2 linked regions of the Drosophila melanogaster genome follow. The protein of the gene in region 1 interacts with the protein of each later gene in a pairwise test. Each region holds a gene or a part of one and is shown on either strand. Other genes may lie near its edges.

What was found.
Region 2: the proteins of CG13720 (region 1) and Golgin245 interact in a two-hybrid assay, tested with the Drosophila melanogaster proteins (one large-scale study listed by BioGRID).

Annotation. Positions count from the first base shown.
Region 1 is NT_037436.4:4,498,183-4,502,612, reverse strand, and holds CG13720 (uncharacterized protein), read left to right. Parts: upstream 1-2,112; 5' UTR 2,113-2,174; coding exon 2,175-3,638; 3' UTR 3,639-3,757; downstream 3,758-4,430. Other genes in the region: NT1 (neurotrophin 1), read left to right, coding at 1-637.
Region 2 is NT_033778.4:23,371,046-23,378,966, forward strand, and holds Golgin245 (Golgin-245), read right to left. Parts: upstream 6,001-7,921; 5' UTR 5,870-6,000; coding exon 5,786-5,869; intron 5,575-5,785; coding exon 5,487-5,574; intron 5,422-5,486; coding exon 5,246-5,421; intron 5,192-5,245; coding exon 4,988-5,191; intron 4,909-4,987; coding exon 1,198-4,908; intron 1,132-1,197; coding exon 1,060-1,131; intron 995-1,059; coding exon 878-994; intron 816-877; coding exon 798-815; 3' UTR 315-797; downstream 1-314. Other genes in the region: Ice1 (uncharacterized protein), read left to right, coding at 1-303; CG13551 (uncharacterized protein), read right to left, coding at 7,004-7,132; yellow-d, read left to right, coding at 7,821-7,921.

The sequences.
Region 1 (4,430 bases):
TGCCCATGCCGCCCATGCCCATCAAGCAGGTGCCATCGCACCACCAGGCGCACCACCAACAGCCTCACCACCATCTTCACCAGTCAACCGGCAAGGTGGCAGCAAATCGCGACCCCGCTTCTATGCACCACCAGCCACCACGACGACCAACACAGCAGTGGTTACCGGGTCAGCGTCGTCCCTTTCGACCGAGCGCACCACTCAGTGGGAGCGGGATCAGTCGACGTCACTACCACAACCGCCGGCAGTCTATCCAGTGAGCTCGATCTTCCCCAGCGGTGGTGGCAGCGAGATGTCGGGCAAGAGGATTAACTATAACTACCACCCCATTATCGATTTCTTCGAGAAGAATCGCAAGGCGGAGGCGGCGGCTACAGTCAGTTCCATCGCAGAAGAGTCCCGCATAGTGGAGCAGCGTATATTCCCGCAGAATTCCCCCAAATCTCAACAGAATGGCATGGGCTTGGGCATGGAGACAATCACTGGAGTTTACCAACATCCCATTCCGGTGCCCAAAACGCACGAGAGGCGTATGGGTTACCGGGCACATAACGGTGGCGTGGGTGGTGCAGGTGCTGTGGGTGGTGGTGCTGGTTTCGCTAGCGATAACGCCTGGCTGCCCATGGTTGTGGAGTAGCTTAAGTCGCATGAGTCCATCAAAATCAAAGTCCTCAAATCCCCGAAATCTAACGTATTAACGCCGATGCCTTAGCTCGTAGTCTCTGCCGTTCTCGCCAGGAGCCTAATCTTGTAGTTTGTCTACCTGGCTCCTAATCTCAACCCCATTTATCCCAAAACCCACTCTAATGTTTAACCAACTATGTTTATTTATTTATTTATTTTGTAGTGTGTAGTGCAAAGATTAAGAGATGACCTCGTTTTTGGGGGAGGTTCAATTGGTCAAAAGCTTGGTTGGTTTGTCACGAGAGTTCTAGCAATAAATATAATTTATTGAAATCTTAACACGTGTTTGTTTCTTTAAGAAATGTGTCGAGTTTACTTTTACACTCACTGTACTTCTGTTAACACTGAAGCTAACAGAACAAATATTATAGCATCTTTTAGGCGCTTTTTAAAATTCTGACTTCTGTTAACAAAACAGGCATGCGCAACGGCATTGCCATTAAAAGAGCTGTTTTGTTTTATTGATAATATAATCTTGTAATAAATTCAAGTACAAGGCAATTAAATAAAGTCCTACAATTCAATGTTAATTATGGTGCTTTTTAATTTAAAACGTGACTAATATAGACATTTGTAGTATTTAATAGTTTGCAGCTTAATCAAATGTAGATGTTTGGAAGAAGATTTAAATACAATTATTTGCAATGAAAAGTTTACTTAAAAATTCAATTAATTACGTACCTTGAAGAGTCAAAGAATTTATTAAAATTACAAACAGAAACAAAAATTTTTTTTCCACTCACAAAAAATCTCATGAATATATTTATTCCTATTAGATATTCCCATAGAATATCAAAGTCCGCATAAATCATTCCCATCTAAAGACCGCATTATTCCCCATATTTTTAAAACACCCAAATTAAATGGACAGTGCATAAATTAATTCACCGTTCGCTCTGCCTTTCGCCCAAATGACACAAATACCAAATCAGTGGCTTTCGGCGAAGTTCAAGTTGAGGGTCAAGTGGCGGGCACTAATGAGATTCGAGACTGCGAAAATAAAAACACTTACCCACACGATCGAAAACTGAATTCAAGACAGAAACTAGTTTCTGCACAGCAACCAGAAAGTTGCAATGTGCCAAGCCACCGTTGTGGCGTATGCAAAGTGGGTTTCTAAAGCGAAACACGGCTTGAGCCCCGACTTTGACCAGTTATAACATTGGACGTTGAACGTTGCAACTTGCATCTGGCAGCTACTTGCAACGTCACTTCGGCTGGCCAGATTCGCTTTCATTTGCGGCCGAAGCTAACAAACGGCCGATGACGACGACGATGACGACTTCAAAAACATCTATCTCGTCACGAAAGAAAGAAAGAAAGAAAGGCTCGTGGCGCGGTGATCAAACTGGAAAATTGGAAAAACGGCGAGGAAATGTTATAAAGCCACAATGATAGCACACTTACTGCACAGTTGTCGGTTGGCCGTCGAACGCGAAAGTGAAAAGTTGCATTTCCCCCGACCTTGGGATAGAGAGAGTAAAAGTGCAATGGCTGTGCTAAGGACATACTTTTTGCTCCTCTTCTATTTACAACTAAGCCAGGCGATAAAAGTGGATAGTGGGAGCAAGGAAGGAGATTCCAGTAGCACTCCAAGTCCTCCTCTTTATAGAGTATCGAAGCCCGAGCACAAGAAACCGGAGAACAGGGTTCCACCGCATTTGCAGGACATACGTCCTGGTTACGTCGATGATGATGCGGGAGATGTGATCAGGATTATTGAGCCTCCTCAGCACTTTCAGCAGCTGAAACGTCTGCGTCAACGGCAACCTTCCAATCCACCTGTGGTTTGGGAGCAACCACGGAAATTGGCCACCAATAGGTTGAAAATCATGCCACAAGGAGACCTCCTCACGCAAGAAACCCAGATTCAAAATGGTCCTAATCAGCTACAAATACCCGTGGAAATCTTGGCCTCTGTGCGGAAAACAGAGCGTCTATTGCAGCGGCAAAGACAAAAGGCAAAGTTTCCGCTGGTAAGACAACGACATATCCAGCGACAAAGTCACACGTTGATAGCTCAAAAGGCCCTGGAACAGCAACTTTACCATCGAAGCCAGCAGCAAAGACTAAAAGCACTGTTAAGTCGCAATCAGGAGCTTAAGAGAAGTAAAAGAAACCGAAGGGATGTGCCTGTAAAGTCAAAGGAACCTTATGATGTACAAAAGGGCCTGAAGTTGGTGGCCCACATTGGGGATCTACTGAAAAATGCAACACAATATCTACCCGACGAGGGCGTCACCAATGAGGTGAAGAGGTCATCAATTTGCAGCAATGCAACCAACTGCGACAATCGGCGACGTCGCCAAAGACTTTTCAAACAGCACGACAAGTCAGCAGAGCGGGAAAAATTAAAGGAGAGGCGGCGCAACTTCCGGAATAAAGAGGCAACAACCACAACAGCAGCAACAACCAAGGCGACAACGACGACAACAACAACCACTGGCAAATCAGTGTTTTCAAGTGCCAATTCACTTGCGGAAACTTCCGCAACTCCGCTGGCCAGTCGCCTGGTGAATTCACGCAAATCCAAATCCAAATCGCCAAATAACAACCGCAATAGCAACTGGGGCCGCAACGATGACTCCATACTCTATGCGGATGTAATGACAAATATACGCAACTTGTGGCAGGAGCACGATCAGTTGGCGGGACCAAGGTTTATTGCACCTGACGAGGTGGCCAACAATACGGACTATCGCACCTTGGACGTTTATCTCAAGCAGCTGGATGATTTGGCCAAAAAGCTACCCACTGTGGCTCCCATTAGTGGTCTCAACAAGGAGGAGCTGCAGCGAGCTACGCCAACGCCCAGTTGGTACTTGATAAACTCAGAGGGAGGGATCTTTGAGACCCGACTGGATAGTCAAACTAAACCCTCGTCGTCCCTATTTCATCGATTCCCCGACATGCCCAATCAAAATCAAAGTGTGTCCACATTGGACTTGGAGTAGACATTGCTCTTAAAGTTTTAAGCTAGTTGTTACTTATTTATTTACAAAGAATAAAGTATTATTACTGCAACGGAGTTAGAAATGAAAATTTCTAAATGGCATTTACGTTAGTTTTAATTAAATGCAACTTATATAATTATTAAGTTATTAACAAGTAGTTAACTTATTAACCCTGCAACTCTTCGCCTCAACTCCTCCAAAGCTACATCTCTGGCGGATTCTTGGTGGCCAACCAAGCATTTAGCTCCGCTAATTACAACAACTCCCAACTCTCAAGTCACAAGTTCTTGGCTAATGCGGCAATTTAGATAAGCCCTAGCTGGCAATTAGCCCCGAGCTTGAATCCAAGCTGCCAAACGTGCGAAACGCATTGTCCCAAGCCCTGACCCCGCCAGACATGCAAAGTTGTGAGAAGATTTTCGGCAATTAGGCAGGTACATGGAAATTGAGTGGCTCAGATGAAGCGGAAGAAAATCTGACCTGACCTCTCTTACACGGGAAATATGTAGATCTGTCGGATCTCTCATTCAGATAATACTTGTTTTGGTTTCTGATCTACGTAATAGTTTTGCGGGGATTCTTGGAACATTTTCATTTCCACAATCGTTTTTTTTTTTTTTTTCGCTACCAAGTCTGAAGTTTTTGGGCGTCGTTTTTTTTATGGGATTAGAATGTTGTCCGGCCACTTTGACAAAGAATTATTTAATTTATAGAGCGTGTGTTGGGTTTTTTATGATTATTATTTGGTGTGTTGGCGGGACGAGCGATAAATTAGAGTGGATCGATAGCGAA
Region 2 (7,921 bases), on another chromosome or scaffold:
CTTCTGCTGCACTGCATCTCTTTGGTACTGAAGCCACTGCCCCTGGATACTGATATCTCCGCCTTCGTAGGCTTCCTGAAGCGCCTTCTCGTGGCAGTGCCACGATCCGGAGTTCAACTGGCGGCCGTCAAGGCCAGCCTACGTCTGCAGAGATTCGGATTCAAGTACACTCTGGATGCCCTGAAGGACTACAGGCCCAACTACGAGCTCGACCCGTTAACGCGGGCCATGATTCGATGCTTTGCGAAACGGAGGAGGCACTTCCGTCACGTGGCGGCCACTGGGCGGCGTACAGAGATTTGAGATTCCCTTTTATGAATTGTAACTATTTATTTATGTATGTTATTGTATAGATTTTGAATTAAACTAAATGCCAACTGCGCTGCGGATCTTTACAAATTTAAACTTACAACTAAAATACACAAAACGATTGCACTTAGGTTAGGCTGGGGTTAAGGTAAGTCGTGGACATGGGACATGGAGCGCAAGCAAGTGAATGAAACAAAGGAAAGCGTAATCAAAATGTACAAAAGTGCTTAGCGTGGATTTGGACAGAAGTAGCTATACTTAATTCGTGGACTGTACAATAACATGGATCTAGGATGCGGCATACACATACATCAGCGGCTTCTACTACTCGAAATGCCTGCAGAGTCAGCCGGAAGCACCCATGCCGTGCGCGAGGGTGAGGTATAAGTATAAGGTACTTGTGATCTCCGACATCATTTGCGGTCTAGAAGCGCCACCGGGCAGGGCTCCCAGTTCCAATCTCCGCCGTAGAGAGCCATCAGTTCATGCTAGATCAGTTTGTTCAGCTGCAAGTGTTTGTATTGGGTTAGTTAACGATGCAATATGGAACTCAAATGGGCTTCCCTACCAGCGATCGCCGCTGATGCTCCTTTTCCAGTGCAACTTGGGCCTGCTGCGGCGAAAATTTGAGCACTGCCGATATCACCTTGACAAGCGTCTCGTTGTTCGTGTTCCCAGTTAGGTACTGAAATGGAATATATCAGTTAGTTGGGAGTATATATTTGGACATTATCTAGTTTGATTCCCCACCTGGAACATGATGTTGCGCAAGTACTCGAATTCCGTGTTGGCCGGAACAGCCTCGCTGTGTTGCATGGATACCTGTCGGCAAGAGAAAGGAATCAGCAATGGAATCAAAGGGTGGGTGCACCGCTGCTATGGACTCACCAGGGTTTCATCCAGTTGCCGCGAGAGTTTCGCATTCTGCAGCTTAAGTCGCTCGTTGGACTGTTCGAGTATGAGGAAGTTCTCGCATTTTTGCTCCAGGAACAGGTTTCGATTCGTCACGTCCTGCACCTCGTTCATAATCTCTTTGAGCTTAGACTCCAGTTCAGCCTTCTCGCCGGCAGCGGCTGCCTCCTGAACGTTTTTGGGCGCCATGCTGGCGAGGAGTTGCTGGGCTTGTATGCCGGCTCGCAGGGTTTCCAGCTCGTTGATGCGCTCCGCCATCTGCTGGTTGTTAGCCTGCAGCTCCTCGATCTCCTGCTGCATATTGGACTCCGCACCGGCGCTCTTGTGCTTGAGATCCTCCAGCTCCCGTTGCAGTCGCTCGTTCAGGCTGCGCAGGCTGTCGGAGTCGGTTGAGGGGGATAAATGCTCCTTAAGGCAAATCACCTCCTGCCTTAAGCCATCAGCTTCAGCCTGCAGCAAGGCCTGCTCATCCCGACTCATTGCCAATTCGATTTGCTTATCGTGGAGTTGCTGCTGCGCTTGAAGAAGGTCTTTTTGGACCGCATCACTCTGCTCGGTGACAAAGCTGGCGTGCTCCTTCTGGCGGGTCAGCTCCACCGCCTGTTCCTCGATGGCCTTCTTCAGTTCGGACACCTCTGCCGTTGCTGTCGCACTCTGCGTTTCCTTTTCGGCCATTTGGACGGCATGCTGCTCGGCCTTCTCCTGAAGAACGTACAATTCACATTGCAGGGATTTCAGTTTCTCCTTCAGCTCCGCACTCTCAGCCAACTCGGCCTCCAATTGCTTCGTGTGCTTATTCAAATACTCGTTCTCGATCAGGATCTCATCGAATTTGGCCAATTTTTCGGAGGCTTCAATCTTTTCTTGTAGCTGACGATCCCTTGTGGCCATGGCTTCTTGGAGCTCCACCACCTGACGGTTTTTCTGGGCAATTGACTCCTTCACCTCCTCGCGTTCCTGGCCGTGCTTAATCTTCAACTGTTCCATCTCCAGCTGCAGGGCATCATTGGCTTCGTGAAGACGCTCTACGTCTGAGTTGGCGGCGCTCCAGCGAGCTTCCAATGTGGCAATTTGCGTGGTGTAGGACGAATTGGTAGCCTGCAGTTTCTCCTGAATGCCCTGCTCTGTCTGCTTATAAGCATCAAGTTGCTCGCGAAGATTGCTGATCGTGGCCTGCAGTTGGGTCTCACTTTCGCTGTTTTGGGCCTTCAATTTCGCGCATCGTTCGGCTTGGTCTTTCAGCTGCTGCTCCTGTTCTCTTTGTCGCTCTCTCAGCTCCGACAGTTGTTGGTCCTGCTCCTTCAGTTCTCGATCTAAGTTAGCCTTAACCCTATGCAGCTCCTCACTGGCCGACTGCAGGCAGTCCAGAGTGTGTTTGGTCAGCAGCTTATCCTTTTCGTAGGCATCGCATTTATCCTGCAGCGTCCGATGGTCGTGATCCATCAGCTCCTGGGCATTTTGCAGCTTCGAGTGCTCGTCGAGCACCTGTTGCAGCTTCGCCTGGATCTTGCCGATCTCGTCTTGTTTGGCTTGCAGTTGGGACTCCAAATGATTCGTCTGCTCCTCCAGCAGACAGTTGCGTTCGGCCAGCTTGGTGTTTTCGCTCTGGATCTCCTCCAGCTTAGCTGAGGTCCTCTCGTCCTGGGCACTGCTGTCCACTTGCTCCTGCTGCAGTGACTCGATGCGGGATTCCAGCTTGCGCTTCTCCCGTTCCAGCTCGCTGTGTGAGTCTTGCACCTGTTGCATTTGCGCCTGCATGGTGCCAATCTCCTCCAGAATTCCAGTGACGCGTGCCTGCAGCTCCTCCTTTTCGCTCTCCACCTGGCGAGAGTGACTCAGTCGATCTGCCAACTCACTTTGCAGAGCTTCGAGGCGAGCGCTTTGATCGCTTGATTTCGCCTGGTGCTGCTCGTGTTGCTTCTTTATCTTGTTCAACTTGTTGCCGCTGGCTTTCAGTTCCTTTTCCTTGGCCAACAAACTGGCCTGACTGGTGGCCAAGTCCTGACTAAGAGCCTCCAACTGCCCTTTTAGTGCAGCCACTGTTTCGCTCTCCGAGTTCGCGTGCTGATCTTGTAGTATTTGAATCTCTCGCTGTAGCTGTTCCAGCTTAAGCCTATGCTGTTCCTCCTGGGAGGCTTTCTCGGAATTCAAAGCGGCCACAGATTCGCGCTCCATTTCCAGGCTCTTCTCGAGTTCGAGAGCATGGAGCTCCCGTTGCGATTGAATGGCTGCCAATTCCTCTCTTGCCCGAGCGAGCTGAGCTTCCCAGTCGTTTTGTTGATGACGCTGGACAATTTCGAGCAACTGATCATTGTGCAAGCGCAGGTCCTGCAAACTGTGCTCACTTTCGGTTTTAAGCGCATTCAAGCTTTGCTCCAAGGATGCCGCTTGCTCTTCCTTGGCCGAGAGTGCGGCCTGAAGTGCGTTCAAACTGTGTTCAGTGGAAAGAAGTTTGGCTTCGGCTTCGTCCTTAGCTGCACGTAGTTCATTGATCTTCTGCTGGGAATCAGTACTTTGAGCTTCTCGTTGTTCATTAATGTGGTGCAATTTTTCTACATTCACATCGTTTTCCTTGGAAAGAGTTTTCAGTTTGTCTTCCAACAAAGCGACTTTCTCTTCCTGTGCTTTATAATCATTCCTGAGGGAGTGCAAAAGTTCTTCCGTGGCTAAGAGCTTCGATTCGGCTTCGTCCTTGGCTGCTTGCAGTTTCTTTTGCTGATCCTGTGCTTCGTTAGTTTGAGAATCGCTACTTTTCTTGTTTTCTCGCAATTTATCTAAGTAATTTTCGTTTTCTTGTTTCAGTTTACCCAACTGCTCCTTCAGATGCTTTAGCTGCTGCTCCTTGGCTGCTTGTTCGCTTCGGAGAGATTCCAAGAGCTGATCCTTGGACAAAAGCTGGGACTCCGCATCCTGAACGGCTGCTTGAAGTTTCTTTAGTTGCTCGCTTGAATCGCTTGCTTGGGTATTTCGATCTTCGTTCTGTTTCTGCAGATCTTTTACTTTCTGTTCGTTTTCCACCCTTATGGCTTCCAGTTGCGCTTCGAGTGTGACCACCTGTTGCTCCTTGATCGCATAGCTTTCTTTTAGGGTGTTCAGCAGGTGCTCTGTAGCCATAAGTTTGGCATCGACTTCCTGCTTCGTGGCCTGAAGCTTTTTGAACTGCTCCTTGACTTCGTTGTTGTGGGACTCTCGCTGAGATTCCAATTGCTTGAGTTTCTCCTGAAGCTTACGCACCTCGGTGTCCTTTAGCTCCAATTCCGTATGGATGGCCTGCTTTGTCTGGGCCAGAAGAAGCACGTTCTCCTCCTCCTGCTTGCGCACAGCTTCGTATTTTTCGGTCACACTTTTCAGCTGCTCGTCCCGCTCTTTAAGTAATCTCTGTAAGTCGGACACACCGGAACTGCCATTGGTGGACAGGGGCGACTTTCCGATCGACTCCTCCAGGTCGATTAGCTGTTCGGACTCCAGCTGTTGGCCGCTTCTCTCCAGAGCCGCCGTAATATTCTCAGGATTTTCGCCCAGCAGCTGGAGCTTCGTCTGATAAGCCTGCATTTTGCAGCTCATGTCGTCCATCTCAACGCGCAGAGCCTCCTCCAAATGCGCCTTGGCCTGCTGCTCCAGCGTGCACTGCTCCCTCAGCTCGCTGATTCGGCGCAGCGCCTTGTCTTGCGTCTCCACCAGCACAGACTGCAAAGCGATATTATCGGAAATGTTCGTTACACAAGCTTATCAAGCAGACCGATTAGATAGGCAGATAGATAGATACCCGCGCCTTGGAGCTGTCGCGTTCCAGTTCCTTGTACTTTTTGGCCAGATCCGTGTACCGACAGCGGTACTTGTGGTAACGATCAAGTGACTTCTTGTACGCATCGTACAGCTGGTCCTTGGTGATCACATCCAGACGAGCCGTTGAGGCGGAGTCGTCGAACTCGCTGCTCGTTTCGTCCAGATCAGATTGCAAGTGGTACACCTGGAAAGTAGAACACATAATTAAAGCAATCTCGGAGACTTTTCGGCCACTTACAGCTGGCGCTTCATATGTAGGCAGGCGGAAAGACACGTCGCTGGCCATGGACGAGTTGGAGAGCTTGCGGGTCCTGGAGGTGGCGCCGTTCAGGGATTGCGTCGATCGTCCGCGCAGAGCGGATGCACTTGTGGCCGGCAGCTTTTGGATGCGATAAGGCGAGTTCTGAGGTGTGTCTGCGCGGTGAAAGATGGATTGATATGTGAGATAAGGAACCCCAGGTGACTCATGGCGTACTCACCCTCCTCCGTGATGCTGAAGAAGTTCTCATTGTTGCTGGTGTTCGTTTCCGAATTGGGTGTTGTGCTCGACGATGAGCTCACGGCGGCCTGGGAAAAAAGTCCAAGGAAGACTCATGAGCAGCTGGTCACTTCACTTTTCACTTGTGCACCCAGAAATGGGTCACAATCGCACAATCGAAGGCGACCCCTTCCCAGTTCACCGACACACATGCAATTCCGTGTCTGTGTGCGTATGTTTTCCTCAATTTGCATTTTTCATCGGCAATAAGCACCGCCCCGCCCCCGCACACAAAAATACCTGTGCAGCATTCGCAAATTGCTGGAACTTCGAGGGCGACGCCTTCACCTCCTCGATCAGCTTGTTCTTCAGGTTGGCGAACATTTCGAGTGCCTGCTGCGCTCTTTTTCAACTGGTTGCGCTACCTGGTTTAAGCACTATTCAATTTGTAATTAAAAAACATCTAAATAAATACGTGTCTGCAGATGTTCATTCAACGGTCACACTGCCGATAGCCTCGGGAGTTATCGATAACAAGCGCAGTATTCATTAGGGACGAACGCAACTGCGGGTCATTAAGTTTATGAACGTGACGAAAAATTTTAATAAACATAAATAAATGTTACGTACAATGTAATTTTTATTTAATACACACAAAAGTAACAATTTAATTAGTTATAATTGATAATACCTACCTCCATGTTTTTTAATACCATCTTGGTTCAAGATATTTTCCACAGGTGGCGCAGGTTATCTTTAAAAATATTTGGAAGCCTGTTGAACGCCCTTTCAATTCTTTAAATATAGATATATAGAAAGTTCCTAGGTATGATGTATTCAATTTTTTCTAACAATACTACTATAATGAACTGTTTACACGCTAAAACTGAATGAAAGCTGGTCAAACTTGCTAATTATGCAATGATTTAGCATTTTAAGTAGCCGCTCGTGTTTGAGGAATCCTCATGTTGTGGGCAAAAACGCTTAGTTAAGCACCCTACAGTTTGTTTTTATTCGAAGATAATGCAGCATACGTTTAAATTGCACTTCTTTATTTATAAAAACCGCGCAATAGTTCGTATAACTGTGTTTTCTTGTACGTGAAATATACACTCTTTTCATAAATTCTATTTTTTACAAGTTGTTATTCTTTTTAAGTTAATTGATTTTTAGTCGATTATAACGGCAGGCGATAAGGCCTTAGTTATTAACGAAGAGGAATTGAAAAATAACTTATAAAGAAACACATCAACGAACTTTATTGCTTTGGTTCTGTAACGAAGCGGCCATAAACTTTAGTAACCTGTTCCAGCACGAGCTAAAGATGAGCTTCTAGTTAAAGCATTCAAAATATGGATGGTTTATTACGCACTTTTCAAATACATATATAATTTTTGGGTTACTGGTAAGTGGTAGTGAGCACTTGGGAACATACAAAAGAGAGTGAAATGCATTTTAGTAAATGTCTCGAGTTCATCCGTCCGTGCGGTCGCCTTCTGCCGGTGGATGGATCACCGCTCACTTGTGCAGGTTCTCGAGGAACTCCTTGTGGCGCTGGATGGCCTCCTCGTGCTCCTTGATCTGCTGGTGGTGGAACTCAGCCTGGTGGATCTGGTCGTTCTTAAGGCGATCCAGCTGCTCCCTTTGCTGCAACGAAACGAACAATGATGGATTCTCTCGATTAGCCGGTGCGAAATACAATTAGTGCTAGCAAGTCGTAAAAAGCTAATTGCTGGTTAGCTAAGCCCGCCCACCCCTGAAGCTTGCCATCAATATTGATCGACTGTCATCATTAGCTGCCAGCCATATAAGAGGCTTTACTACAAGAGACAATATTTGGTTAACAATTTTCAGACCGAACCCGTCACACGGGCAGACAAAAAGTTCGGATATCGCCTGAATGACCACGACAAACAGTCGACGGAAGTCTGTAAAGAGTGCGAAAAAGATCGGGGGAAAACCACCTGCCGCCAATGAACCTGAATCATTGTCTGCCGTTCTGCCTGCTCGTCTTCAAGCCACCAAGCTAAAAAGCCTGTTTTCAGTTGATAGTTGGCTACCGAAGTGAGACGTCGAAGAAAGTGTCGTTAGATCGGGGTCACCGTATTAAATTATTCCGCATTGTTAGGCCGCATCTGGCCAAATATCAACAGACCCTTGCTCTTAATTGGTCGTCAACAAGTAGACAAAGCCAGGCCGCGGTCCACACTCTTCGATCTCCGCCAGCCAGCCTGCCTGCCTCTCTGCCACTTATCAACGCCTCAGGAACCAACTTGCTTGATAAGCAGCTGCCCTTAGTTCGAACAGAACATTTACCATCCGACTCTGCTGCGGAATGGTTATGATGCCCCTCCGGATACTGCTGATCGCCTTTTCGCTGACGCTAGCCCAGAGCTATGGCGTCGGTGTCAATGGACCGCGTCCCGTGCGCACTGT